Linked DNA regions of Sus scrofa. The protein of the gene in region 2 interacts with the protein of the main gene of each other region in a biochemical or structural test. Links are inferred from orthologs where the notes say so. Each region holds a gene or a part of one and is shown on either strand. Other genes may lie near its edges.

Evidence for each region.
Region 1: the proteins of TRIM24 (region 2) and RARA form a complex in vitro, tested with the Homo sapiens proteins (3 studies listed by BioGRID). The link is inferred for Sus scrofa from reciprocal best matches to the Homo sapiens genes TRIM24 and RARA.
Region 3: the proteins of TRIM24 (region 2) and PPARG interact in a test that uses a peptide from one of them, tested with the Homo sapiens proteins (2 studies listed by BioGRID). The link is inferred for Sus scrofa from reciprocal best matches to the Homo sapiens genes TRIM24 and PPARG.
Region 4: the proteins of TRIM24 (region 2) and RXRA form a complex in vitro, tested with the Homo sapiens proteins (3 studies listed by BioGRID). The link is inferred for Sus scrofa from reciprocal best matches to the Homo sapiens genes TRIM24 and RXRA.

Annotation. Positions count from the first base shown.
Region 1 is NC_010454.4:22,054,753-22,058,270, forward strand, and holds part of RARA (retinoic acid receptor alpha), read right to left. Parts: intron 2,664-3,518; coding exon 2,515-2,663; intron 1,138-2,514; coding exon 996-1,137; intron 1-995. UniProt on the Homo sapiens protein: Receptor for retinoic acid. Retinoic acid receptors bind as heterodimers to their target response elements in response to their ligands, all-trans or 9-cis retinoic acid, and regulate gene expression in various biological processes.
Region 2 is NC_010460.4:11,057,680-11,061,197, forward strand, and holds part of TRIM24 (transcription intermediary factor 1-alpha), read right to left. Parts: intron 3,187-3,518; coding exon 3,112-3,186; intron 753-3,111; coding exon 603-752; intron 1-602. UniProt on the Homo sapiens protein: Transcriptional coactivator that interacts with numerous nuclear receptors and coactivators and modulates the transcription of target genes.
Region 3 is NC_010455.5:68,415,990-68,419,507, reverse strand, and holds part of PPARG (peroxisome proliferator-activated receptor gamma), read right to left. Parts: coding exon 3,095-3,518; intron 1-3,094. UniProt on the Homo sapiens protein: Nuclear receptor that binds peroxisome proliferators such as hypolipidemic drugs and fatty acids.
Region 4 is NC_010443.5:273,787,910-273,791,427, forward strand, and holds part of RXRA (retinoic acid receptor RXR-alpha), read left to right. Parts: intron 1-1,274; coding exon 1,275-1,407; intron 1,408-2,842; coding exon 2,843-2,934; intron 2,935-3,518. UniProt on the Homo sapiens protein: Receptor for retinoic acid that acts as a transcription factor.

The sequences.
Region 1 (3,518 bases), on a different chromosome or scaffold from region 2:
TGCAGTGAAAAGCTCTGGGAGCGGAAGGTGGCAGTGGCAGAGGGAGGAGGAGGTGCTGGGCCCTGCAGGGAATGGTCCCAGGCCTGCAGGTTCCAAGTTGTCACCTGCTCTGCAGCGCCCGCCCGAGCAGCCACTTTCCTGGGCTCCGGACAACACCGCCCCTGCCTCCAGTGGCAGGAGGTGGCAGGGTGCTGCAGGGTCCCTCTGCTCCTGTCTGGGGCACCTCATGTCCAGCCCCCCCGCCCGCCGCCACCTCCCCTCCCCACTTCCTTCCTCCACTGCCCTGCCCACAAAGGGCTAGAGGGTCCTGCAGCCCCCTCCCCCACCCCATCCCCCAAGGCTCAGGCTCCATGGCAACGGCCACGCAGACAAGGAGGCGTCTGTCAGCGTCATTTATCTCTGACATCATCAATCACCGGTCACCACGGCAACACCCATGATTCAAAACAAGAGGGGTCTCCCTGTCCAACCCTCCCTCTCCCCCTCCATCAGGCCTCAGCTGAGCCCGAACTGGAAACCCCCGTTCCTCTGGGAGCAGAGAAGCCCCAATTCTCTCATCCAACTCCAGGTCCCAGGCTTCACCAGACAACGGCCCTCCGATCCCTGTGCCTGCAGCACAGCCCCTGCACACACCACTGAGCGGCACCCCTGCCCTGAGATGCACAATCCCAAGGGACTCACGGAGGCCTCTGGGTTCCGCCCCAAAGCCACCCAGGGCCTGGAAGCAGACACATGCAGACCCGTGTGCAAGCTCATGCAGCCTGCCAGGGGCCAACAGGAAGGGCTGTCCACACATGGACACACAGAGGGCCAGACAGACAGACAGGTCCTTGGAGCTATACACAAACCGGCCTCAACATGGGCCCGCATACCATGCATGGTCGGGTCCACACACACGCACACACACACACACACACACACACACACACACACACAGCCACACGCCCCCCCCGGCTCCCCTGGCTTTAGGGGCCCGGCCCCCTCCAGGCACTCACACTCCTTGGACATGCCCACTTCAAAGCACTTCTGCAGCCGGCAGTACTGGCAGCGGTTCCGGGTCACCTTGTTGATGATGCAGTTCTTGTCCCGGTGACACGTGTACACCATGTTCTTCTGGATGCTTCGGCGGAAGAAGCCCTGGGTAGGGAGGGCAGGGAGGCAGGTCAGCCACACCCAGAGCCACACCCACGATTCAAAACACGAGGGGTCTCCCTGTCAGCGCTGGCCTGCGGCCTCCGTCTGAAGGCAGAGGGCCAGCGGGCTGCTGCCCCCAAGCCTTTGGCCATCACCTACCTGAGCAGGCCAGATAAGGTGGGGAGAAGGGTCCACCTACAAGGATACTCCCTGAAGAATCCCAGTACCTGCTGCCTCAACACTGCGGCGGGGGCGGGGGGGGCAGGCTTCCCCCAACCTCCACCCACAGACCCAGGTTCCTCCCTCCTGGGGAGACAGACCTCAGGCTGTTGGCGAGTCAGGAAAAGGGGCAGATGGGGTTAGATGGGACAAAAGCAGAGCCCTGGGCTCAGCACAGAAGAGAAGGCAAGCAGGAAGGGACCACAGAGGGATACACGCAGGCGGCCCTGAGAGGTGGGGACACTCTCGCACTCAGAAGCAAGGCAGCAGGACACGTTTGTTAACCAGGCAGATGCACACAGAAGGATCACTGGTCGAGGGCAGACCAGGCTGGTGGGGGCAGGAGGCGGGGGTGGGGGCACACAGGCCAACAGAGGCTGACAGACTAGGGCGGACCAGGAACAACCAGCCAGACAGGACAGGTGGACACACATAGTCCAAGGCTGTGTGCTTTGCCCTCGATCTCCCCCCCACACCCGGAGCTGGCCACTCCACACTGAGGGGCAGCCCTGGGCCCCAGGCCCCAAGCCCCAGGGCTGTGCAGCTTCAAAGCCGCGATCTCTGGGGAAGAAACAGGTACAGAGGCTCAAGCCCTGGGGACAGGTAGAGGAGAGGCCATGCCCACAGGGGCTGGGAAGGGGGCAGCCATGTCTGCACCCCGGAGCCTATCATGTGCACGGGGACATCCAGCCAGGCACTGGGGAGCCCACAGCCTGGGCATCTGAAGGAGACGCCAAGGCAAGGCGCCTGCTCCTAACAGCCTCCTGCCAGGCTGTCATGGCGAGGTTCAGGCAGGGCCACTGGAGGCAGGCCTCCTGGGTCCCCAGCCAAGAGCCTGTCGGCAGCCAGCTCACCATGGCAACCTGGGCAGCGGTGGCAGGGCGGGTGTTCGCCCTGCCAGCCGGAGGATGGAGGATGGAGGAAGCGAGCTGAGGCAGGAGCGGAACCTCTGGCTTGGGGGACCCCTGCTCCGCCATGGGGAAGGAGGTTCCGCTGAAGGCTTCCTCTCCTCCAAGGGTGCTGCCACCTTCCGCACACAAGCAAGAGTGGCAGCTTCAGGGATACCCGCCTCCCGTCAACGTCACAGTCCCAGGACATGGCAGTGGGAACATCTCATTTATTGGATCAGGACTGTCCTTCCCCACGACCCCCTCGACTCACCTTGCAGCCCTCACAGGCGCTGACCCCATAGTGGTAGCCTGAGGATTTGTCTTGACAGACAAAGCAAGGCTTGTAGATGCGGGGGAGGGGGGGCGGCGAGGGAGGGCTGGGCACTATCTCTTCGGAACTGCTGCTCTGGGTCTCAATGGCTAGAGAGAGAAGAGGGCAAGGGCGGTTAGAGACCCAGGTCACCATCCTGAATCCGGAGCGCCCACCCGCCTCGGGCTCTCTCCCAGGAGCCCCTGCCAGGCTCCCCACCGCGGCCGCCAGGAGTCCAACTCTGGGGCGGGGAGACGCGGTCTCAGGAAAGCTGGGACTTCCCGGCCAGGCTGGGGGAATGAGGTCGCCAAGGAAGCCTCCAGCCCGCCGGCGGTTCCGCCTGCTTCCCCAGGACCCCCCACCTTCGAAACCAGAAAGAGGAGATAATCAGCCATCAGATTTGTATGTGGATGTGGCTACACCTGATCGGTGGGGACAGGTGTCATCCTGGTTCTACAGCCCCAACCCCACCCCCTGGGCAGCCCGGCCCCCTGTCCCCCAGGTTAGGAAGGAGTTAAGGCTGGTGAGGAGGGAGGGAAGAGGACACAGGCTGGGGGCAGAGGAAACTGGGGTCAACAGGATATTCAAAGCCGGCCACTCCCCCACCCCCCGCTTCCGCCCCCCCCAACAGCCACAGCCCCTCCTCCACCCAAACAATCCCCTGGCCGGGAACCTAAGGCAGGGTGTGCAGAGTCGCAAATGTTGAGGCATGGCAGGCAGGGACTCTTTGAGATGAGCAAGGGGCCCCCTGGAGACAGGGAGAAGAGTCCCTATGGGCCCCGGAAGTCCATGGCTCTGGGTGCCCCGTCTGGGGGGAAAAGCATGACAAAGGGGGGTCTGTTCCCATCAATGCGCTGTCTGTCTGGCCTCGATACTATGTCCGGGTTACTATCCCCCTCCCCTCCTGTTCTGCAGCTCCAAGAGGGCGGCCAGGAGGGTGACCCAGCCAGCAGGGGCAGCCCCCA
Region 2 (3,518 bases):
AAAAGGCCTTGACTCATCTGGATTATTCTACGAGGGGTGGTAGTCGGAGATTACCAAAGAGAGATCAAAGAGACACCATCATCACAGAATCAAGTAACAGGTATTTTTAAGAACAGATCAAATGAAATGTGGAACTCTGGAATGAGAGACTAACACAGAACCAACCCCCTCACCCCCCCCCCCAAAATCAGCAAAAGGCTGTAAGTCTGACTGATAAACTGACTGATGACAAAGTTTTGGGGAAAATTCTTAAGAACTTATTCCACATTTCAATATCAACATCACAAAGACTAAAGTTTGAAAGTGCCATATTTCAAGAAATAAAGGTGATAATGAGAATGACAAAGAATACTTTTGGTTTAGAACCAATATTTTCTAAGCTGGTTTCAAGCTGTCAGCTGTAATTCGCATTTCCCTTCACCACATAATAAACCTTCGAATATACATGCGGATAAAATCTTCCTAATTGCCTCTTTCACTCCCTGACAGACTTGAACTTTGGAAATAATACGCTACCAATGATAGTATCTTGATCTTGGTTGCTGATAAGCTATTTGGTTTAGTGTTACTCTCACATTGCTATTATTATTCTTCCTTCTCACCTCATTGAATTCGGCACAGTTTTGAAAGATCAATCTAAAATCAGCTACAAAATCTTCAGGCTTTGTATACATGGAATAATCTTCCTGTAGTCTTTTCTTGATGGTTGACAAGTCCATTGGGTTTTTAATTATTTTATAATAATCAGGCACCTTTCAAAAGAAATGAGATGCTGTAATAAATAACTAAATTCTACCTGGTCCTAAATAAATTCTATAAGAAGTAGCATAAAATTCTTATTTTTCTCACTGCTTTTCTCTGTTCTATTTTGTCATTGACAAGGCAATCTATTCAACAAAATTTACAAATGCCTACAGGCTTCCACACACTGATAAATGTTTTGTGTCGCTTTCATCAAAAATTCTCCCCAGGAGTTCCCATGGTGCCTCAGCGGTAATGAACCCAACTAGTATCCACAAGGATGCAGCCTCACTCAGTGAGATAAGGATTTGGTGGTGGTGTGATTGTCGCTGGCAGCTACAGCTCTGACCCCCGGCCTGGGAACTTACCTATGTCATGGGTGTGGCTGTAAAAAGACCAAAAAGAAAAAAGAAAAGAAAACAAAACAAAACAAAAAACCAAAACAACAACCCCGAAAACCCCACCCAAATTTTTTATTAGTTATTCCTTTTTATTTATTTATTTTTTTTGTCTTTTTGCCATTTCTTGGGCCGCTCCTGTGGCATATGGAAATTCCCAGGCGAGGGGTCTAATTGGAGCTGTAGCCGCCAGCCTAAGCCAGAGCCACAGCAATGAAGGATCCGAGCTGCGTCTGCGACCTACACCACAGCTCACAGCAACGCCGAATCGTTAACCCACTGAGCAAGGGCAGGGACCGAACCCGCACCTCATGGTTCCTAGTCGGATTCGTTATCCACTGCGCCACGACGGGAACTCCTATGAGTTATTTCTAATGAAAAAAACTTACCGCATTTCCCTCTTATTATTCTTCATCATTATTAAACAAAAAGCAATCACTAGAAAAAGCATTACTTCTAGTAAGATTTGACATGTTCTTGTTCCAAGTGTTCAGCAAGTGAGCTTTCTGAACCCCAGCTCTGCTACTCAATAGGGTACGACTTAATGAGTTACTTCATGTCACTGAAACTGTTCCTTCATATTTCAAATAGGACTAATTCCACCAGTCCCACAGGATGATGTATAGACTGAGATGATATATATTAAGAAAAAAGGGGGCTACTTTGCTGTTGCTGTTATTAATACCAAATGTTAACTGTAAGCTAACACCATAAAGAGCGCCAAACCTTAGGTTAAATTTTTAAGTGAATAAAGTTTTACTGACCTACTTTTGCCCTGCCTGTTTTGAGTACAACAGGCCCTTCCCCCTAAAAACGACTTACAGTGGAGCCTCGAACTCTGCAGGCACATGTATGCATTGATTTTTTTTCACTAAACTCACACTATAGCACTACCTGATCCATGGTGGGCTGATTCTGCAAACGGAAAGGCCCGGATGCAAGGTTACATGCCGCTTTCTAATCATGCAGAGCTGGTGCCCCAACCTCCTCACTGTTCTAATTAAGAGTTAACTGTATTGATTTTTCCTATCTCAAGTTCTCAAAACTTGTTTTCAAGAAATTTTAATTTTGCATAAAATTTTTAAAATTTATTGAACTGTACATCTATTAATTTTTAAAAGGAATTTCAGACATCAGAGAATAGAACAACACATTTTGAGTAGCAGGCCCTTACTAGCACCATTATAATGAGACTATGCATTAAAGTCACATCAAACTTCAACTACGAAGCCTTTTGAAGTCAATGGTAAACACATACACACACACACACACAAATACACCTCTCTTCTTCTACTGTTAAAAGTCTAGGAGTTCCCATCGTGGCACAGTGGTTAACGAATCCGACTAGGAACCATGAGGTTGCGGGTTCGATCCCTGGCCTTGCTCAGTGGGTTAACGATCCGGCGTTGCCGTGAGCTGTGATGCAGGCTGCAGATGCGGCTCGGATCCCGAATTGCTGTGGCTCTGGCATAGGCTGGCGGCTACAGCTCCGATTAGACCCCTAGCCTGGGAACCTCCATATGCCGCGGGAGCGGCCCAAGAAAAGGCAAAAAGACCAAAAAAAAAAAAAAAAAAAAAGTCTATTTATTGCTTGAAGTTTGGACCTATAAACTCAAATGTGTACAGAGAACTTTGAGGCAGGGGATCTTTATCTGAAATACAAAGTTTTTTTTCCCAACAGCTTAGGACATGTATGTAAAACTCCTGAGACAGAAACGATAGAAAGCATCCCAGAGAATAGCAGGTAAAATACATGAGATGAAAAGAAAGATTATATGAGAAACGAAGTTTTGAGCCACTTTGTTAACATTAAAATGTATTTAAGATCAAAGCATTCAGTATCTATTAATAAGCTTTACAGTTTGGATTAATGTAAGAAACTTACTACTGAAACAGAAACTAGATTTTCAAATCAAATTTCAGAAAAATCACCCCACTGTGCAAAAATGCACAAAATGACATTAATACTTACAGTTAGAGGAACTGGGTCTTGAAAAGCCAGGCTCATTTCATGGCAGTAAAGAAACAGAAGTAGACGTTCACACTTCTAAGCAACAAAAAGAAAGAAAGAAAATGAAAATACAATGAGATAATGAAGTCACAACTAAATTTTTGTTGTTACAGGTCAAAATACCTGAATAAAAATTAAAACTAGATGAATGTAAGAAAAATACTGATACTTGGAGCTGTGGTGTCGTCTCCTTTTTTATGGAGGCCTTATACCTATTTTCCTTTGGTTAGTGAATTTTCATAACATCCTACTTCATTATGTGATTTTAGTGGAATTAAACTTGTTATTTGAATTATTATCAATTTCACTTTTTTTGTCTTTCTGTTTATTTATTATTTTTTTGCTTTTTAGGGCTGTGCCTGCAGCAT
Region 3 (3,518 bases), on a different chromosome or scaffold from region 2:
CACATCCTCATGGATACTAGTCAGGTTTGTTACCGCTGAGCCATGTCAGGAACTCCCCAGATATCATTTTTAATTTTCATAATTGAAAGCCTAAACCTTGCAACATCTACTAAATTGAATCAACTTTGTCACAGGACTATTTTTGACCAATTAATAAAAATTTTAAAGGCCTAACTGAAGGCCTCACTGATTTTTAAATAATCTAGCTTATGGGCAGTAAATGGCATTTTTCTAGATGAAATCACACTGTTGTCTTATGTGTCCATAAAACAGCATTGCTCAGCTCCAAAAACCCTGTACTATCAAGACTGTTTCTTGTCTAGGCCTTTCCTAGATAAAAACTAAGCATTTTTTTTTTTTTATTGCAATATTTGTTTTACTGTGGTAGCCTGGAAACAAACTCACGGTATCTCTGAGTTACGCCATTTTTTCTTTTTTTTGACTGTGCCCATGGGACTCAAAGTTCCTGGGCCAGGGATTGAAACTGCACCACAGCAGTAACCAGAGCCACAGCAATGACAATGCTGAGTTGTAAACGGTTAGGCTGTCAGGAAACTCCTGAAAGTAAGCCTCTTTGAATTGCTTATTTCAAATGCCTCCTTCAGTATCTGGGGTAGGAATATAAATTAGTACAAACTTTATGGAGAAACAATCTGGTAATAATGAAGCAAAAGTCTTAAAAATGCTCATAGCTATTTACCCAGCAATTCCACTACCAGTAATTCAAAGTTTGAGAAAATAATCTGAAATGTTAACAGAAATATTACACCTAAGAAGAATCACTGCAGTGAAATTTAGAACACATTTTCCATCATCTTTTATACTCTTCTCTATAGGTTTTTATAACAAATTATACGCAACTTAAACACAAATTGGGAGATAATTGAGTATGTAACGGCTTGTTATAAAAAGGAATTACTTTACAGTCATTAAAAATGGTACTATATATCTATATATCCATATGCTAGCACACACACAGAAGTTTTTGGTAGGAGAAATAGGACTTTGTTAATCCTATTTTATTCTTTTTCTTTTTCTTTTTTTGGTTTTTTAGAACTGCACGTACAAAAGTTCCCAGGCTAGAGGTTAAATGAGAGCTGCAGCTACCGCCTACACCACAGCCACAGCAACACCAGATCTGAGCCACATCTGTGATCTAAACCACAGCTCATGGCAACACTGGATTCTTAACCCACTGAGTGAGGCCAGGGATCAAAGCTACATCCTCATGGATACTAGCTGGGTTCAAAACCCACTGAGCCACAACGGAAACTACAATCCTATTTTATTCTGAGGACAGAGAGCTTTACTTTTCACTTACACCTTTCTGTACTCTTTGAATTATAAAATGACCATGTATTACTCCTATTTTAAAAAATTAATAAAATATTAATAGAGTATTAATGACATGGGAAAATGGTTAAATGAAAAAGGAATATAAACATAGTATATGTAGTATGATTAGGAAAAAGTCTTAGAAATATATCAAACGTTAATAATTATATTTCCATTTTTCATTAAAAATTAAATTGCCTCAAAATATTAGCTAGTTAGTTCCAATTTGTCTTCTAATCTAGTTTTCCAAAATTTAATATTTTTCTCCCAATGGACCTCAAATAAAATGGAATATCATTCTTTGCTGAACTAGTCACAGATCTCAGAGCATCAAGGGTTAATTTGTTTAAGAAGTACATTATGTCAAGATGTCAAAACATGTTGGATGGTATATTTTTGTTACATCAAACAACACAAAAGAGGGCTTGTGGCTTCAGCGTTAACCTGCGCCATGTGGTTATCTGTTTGCACCCTAGTTGTGTAACAGGTGGTATGAGCACAGACCCAGGAGTCAGACTGCTCAGTCTGTCATCCTGGCTCCATCTTTCGCCGGCCGGGTAACCATGGGCAAGTGGCTGAACCTTTCAGTGCTTTGCTTTCCTTGCTTGCAAAACGGTATTTATCTCATTGGGGTTGTGAGACTTATATGAATGTGCAAACAGTGGTTAGAATACTTCCTGGTGTACAGTAAGTACTTAAGTGTCTGCCACTATTATCATGACTAATACCCTGTGCACCTGATTTCAGGAAGCATTCTGCTCTCAAGTCACTGGACAACAAAGGGCTACACAGTGGACCATGATCTTTGTAACAGGCTGCCTAGGGGCACACAGCTCACATCTCTAGGACCACTGCCCCCCACCCACCATCAGCTTTCATGCACAGAGGGTTTCTGCAGAGTGCACACAAAAAGCTCACCTGAAGTCCATCCATTACAGTAATGAAAACCGGTCACTGGAAAACAATTTTTATATAGACAGATGACAGTAAAACTTTCTCCTACTCAAGCTGGAAACATGTGAGAGGCCAATGAAAGTAGCATTTAGTATAAAACCTGGCCTGCAGAGTTGGTTAGTTAGATCATGTACTTGCAAGGTCAAAAGTACAATGAATGGCTAAATAACTCTATTTATTTCCCTGCTGGATGTTCATTGCTTCAGCCTACACTCTGAATCACACCAACGACCTCACAAAGGCACTTTAAGGGAAGCCATCAGAGGACTCCATGCGGGACAGGAGGTGGAGGTCAGCAGATATGTTATTTCTTGATTCCTGATACCAGGAAACCAATTCAAAGTAACAACCCGTTACGGTGGGGTGGGACCGGAGCAGAATCTGACCACAAACACAGAGCCGTGCCTTCTCTAGGCCAAGTGGGGGTCATCTTACAAAGTTGTATGTCACCACTTAAATGAAGATTGGATTGGCCTTCTAGAAAGGAGAGCAAAAAGACCAGAATAAAAGAAAGAAAAAGGAGAAGAGGGCATCTGTCTTCCACGTTTGGACTGGACTAGAATAAATGTTCGGAAAGATAAAAGAAAAGAGCTGGAGTTACGGCAAGACCATGACATTCCTTCTCAGTGTGTCACACGTGTAGTGACACTCCCATGGGATTAGGTCATTAGCATTTTCCATATGAAGAGGGCAGTAAACACAGAGAGAAAAGGAATGCAGCCTAACATGAAAGAAGGTCAGAATTCTTTTAGCCAGCCCCCCACCACCTTACTCTCTTCATGGAAGAGGCAAAGAAGCAGCTCACCTCCACTGAGAATAATGACAGCTATAAATATCGCCAGGTCGCTGTCATCTAATTCCAGTGCGTTGAACTTCACAGCAAACTCGAACTTGGGCTCCATAAAGTCACCAAAGGGCTTTCTCAGGCTCTTGAGAAACTCCCTTGTCATGAATCCTTGGCCCTCGGAGATGAGGACCCCGTCTTTATTCATCAAGGAGGCCAGCATGGTGTAAATGATCTCGTGGACGCCATACTTTAGGAGAGTTACTTGGTCATTCAGGTCAAGGTTTACAAACCCAGGGATGTTCTTGGCATACTCTGTGATCTCCTGCACGGCCTCCACGGAGCGAAACTGACACCCCTGAAAGATGCGAATGGCCACCTCTTTGCTCTGCTCCTGCAGGGGGGTGATGTGTTTGAACTTGATTTTATCTTCTCCCATCATTAA
Region 4 (3,518 bases), on a different chromosome or scaffold from region 2:
GCTGGAACACGGAGGGCGGGAGCATTCACTCTGGGCATGGGGTCAGGCCGGAGTCCGGACGAGGCTGTCGCCCTCTGAGCCGTTCCCTTATTTGGAAAGTGGGCACAGCAGACGTGCCGCGGGGAGGCCGGTTTCTGCTGTGAGGCACAGGTCCTGGGTGCAAGTTCCTGCTGGAGAGAGTGCAGGGACGGGCGAGTTGGGAGGGCCACCCGTCCCGCGGCCCCTCCCTGTGTCCTGGGCCCTGCGGGCTGCACCCAGCTCTGCAGCCGCCTCCAGACCCTTGTGCACCAGGCCTGAGCGGGGAGCCGCAGGGGTGTCAGGCCAGCCCAGCCCAGGGCCGGCCAGGCTCTGGGTGTTCTTGGGGCAGGGGGACAGGTGGCAGCTGGGTCAGAGGAGGCCGGGGCTGGGCAGGCCTGGAGGTGGGGAAGGTGGGAGGGAGAGACCCAGAGTGATGGCGGAGTGGCTGGGACAGATCCGGGTGGGGGGGGGGGGAGCTCGGGGGCTGGTGCTGCCCCTTGCAGAACCCTCCTCTCCCTGGGCCGCTTCCCCGGTGAAACGGGGCTGATGCCTGCCCTGTAGGACGACCCCGTGGTACCGGCTGGCTCTGCCTGGAACCTCTGGGCGCCCGGAGGGGGCGGGGCTGTGACCGTTGCTAGTCGTGTCCCGCGGGAGATGGTGAACGCTGTCCGGTGTACTGGTCCCTGAGACACTTGCGCACAGAATAGGTCTGTCCCCCTGCCTGGTCCTTGCCTCGCCTCTGGGCATGCTGGGCCCGAGAGCTGGAGAGCGGCGGCTTGGCCTTTGGCTCCAGATCGCCTTGTGTCAGCTCAGTGCTTGACCATTTGGTGGCATCCACCATGTGTCCGTCTCTGGGAGTTGGCCTTTGGGCCAGTGGGCGGCAGCTGGCGTGGGGCTGCCGGAGAGGGTCGAGGGAGCTCCCGCGAGCTCCTTGGCACAGCATCTTGGCCCTTGCAGAAGGCGGCTTCCCTGGCACCTGCGTTTGGGAGCCCCTGGGTTAAACTGGCTACAGGACATGTCATGTGCGGGACTTCTCAGGGCCCTTACTGTGCCAGTGTGCCCCAGAGAGGCCTTTCCCAGGCGTCTGTGCTCAGGAACTTCCTTTCTGTGGGACGTTTGCAGGCTCGAGGCTCCCCGGAGCCCATTCTGGGAACCCCGGCCTGGGTTCCCCAAGGAATGGGTCTGAGGTTTGCCTTTGGGGGCAGGGCGGCCTGGGGCCTGGAGACGTGGTGACCGTGTGCCCCCTCCTCCTGCAGGCTGGAACGAGCTGCTCATCGCCTCCTTCTCGCACCGCTCCATAGCCGTGAAGGACGGCATCCTCCTGGCCACCGGGCTGCACGTGCACCGCAACAGCGCCCACAGCGCGGGGGTGGGCGCCATCTTTGACAGGTGGGGGCCCGCCCAGGGCACGGCCCGCTTGGCATCTGTCCTGTTCTCGAAGGTTCTACGTGCGGAAAGGTCCCGGCGCTACCATAAGATTTCCTGGGGCTACCGACAACCACAGTCAGCATCTGGGTTCCCTTCCTTCCTGTCCTTCTGAAAATCCTGCTGCTGTTTTAAAGCAAAGACAGGTTACGCTGTCGCTAGACTTGCCTGGCGGCTGTCACGGTGGACACGTGGGGACTCTTTCGCGCGCTTATGCCTCAGAGCCCACGTGTGTCTGCTCGCTGCCCTGTCCCTGGGCACTAGCTGCCTCTGAGTGCTGCTCTTGGCATATCGCCATTGGGGCGGGGACAGGGGGCCAGTGCGGGTGGCTGGGCGGGCATGTCCGTTCTGGTGGCTCCCAAATCACGGCTCGATGGTGCTGCAGGCGAGGCAGATGGGAGCTGCCCGCTCCTGTGTCTGGCTGGCCTTGCCTATGAGCCCGGAGGACCTGGGTGTCAACTCAGCCAGCCGGAGCGGGAAGCGCTGGAAAGGGGGCGCAGCCCAGGTGTGGCACGTGGAAAGGAGCAGGCCAGGGAGGAGGAGGCAGGAGGGGTCCCAGGCGAGCCCTGAGAACAGGAGCTTTGAAGGGGGAGGGGAGCGAGGCCCCCCCCCCCAGTCACCCCGGGGATACCTGCGGGCACAGGGCTGCCCCGTGGGATGGAGCAGGTGGGACAAAGTGCAGCCCCAGACCGCCCTGCCTGCGCCATGCACCGTGGGCAGGCGCTGGTGTAGACAGACCCCGGGGTGTCTCTGCTACAGGCCGTCGCAGGGCCTTTCACAGCTCGGGTGCAGAAGTGCCACCCAAGGGGGCAGCGGGGGGCAGCATTTGTTCCCCATAGAAGCCACCCCAGAGGGCACGTCCCCAGGATGTTTAGAAATGCAGCCCCTGCCTCACACCAGCTGGCACTTCCATGGTTCCCAGCTGCTGGAGAGGTGACAGTGGTGGGGGTCTGGTCGGCGGCTGATGACAGGAGGGGAACAGAGCCGCCCTGCAGTGGGGAAGGGGCCGGGGACATGGACTCGAGGGCTGTGGTGCCCGGGCTCGGCCTGAGGCTGCGTGCCCGCCTGCAGCCCGGCGGGCCCCTGGGCCGGTGGACCCCTGGGCCGGCGGGCCCCTGGGCCGGTGGACCTTGCCCCCGACGTCCAGGGCTCTGGCTCACCCCGGCTGTCACGAGGTCCCACTTCAGCCCCCAGGTTCCCAGAAACAAATCCCACGCGCAGACCCTCTTGAGTGAGAGGAGAGGAGCCCACCGCCGGGGCGGAACCGGACAGGCGGTGGCTCCCGGGTTCGCCGTGACCGTCTCAGCCGCCCTCCGGGCCCAGACCGGGCTTCCCGGGCCTCCGGGGTTCCGGGGCGAGGGCGCGGTCTGACCCGAAGCCTGCCCCCGCTTCCCCGCAGGGTGCTGACGGAGCTGGTGTCCAAGATGAGGGACATGCAGATGGACAAGACGGAGCTCGGCTGCCTGCGCGCCATCGTCCTCTTCAACCCGGGTGCGCCTCCTCCCCGCCGCCACCCGCCCCCGGGCCAGCCCCGTCCTGCCTGCGCTGCCGCCTCGGCCAGCGGCCCCTCGCCTGGGCCCTGATGGGTTTCTCCCTTGTGATGGGGGCGCAGCCGTGCTGCCCTCTTCTCGAGGCCCGCGTGAGGGTCAGACTGGCTCGGTCAGCCGAGCTCATCCTCCGTGTCCGGGCGAGGCCTCCTGGAGCCCTGGGGGTCTGGGGCTGGGTGGGGACGTCGGGGGCAGGTTCCGGGCTGCCTCGGTGTTCTGGGGGCAGGGGCAGGGGGCTGACCAGGTGGCGAGGAGGAGGGGGCGGCCCCAGGGGTGGAGGGTCCCGACTCCCTGTTCTCCGTCAGCTCCAGCGCTGAGAGGCGGGGCCCGGGTGGCCATGGGGTCCCCTCGGGGGAGAGCCCGTTTCCCCAGGTTTGTGCTCCAGCCGTGACCCTGCCCTGCAGGGCGCTGCCCTGCAGAATCTGCATTGAAGCTTTGTGTGGCTTGGCTGCTGGTTCACCCGATGGGGCCTGGGTGTGGGTGTTCGCCCAAGACAGGAGTTAGCACAGCCCCAGGGCCGGGGGAGCC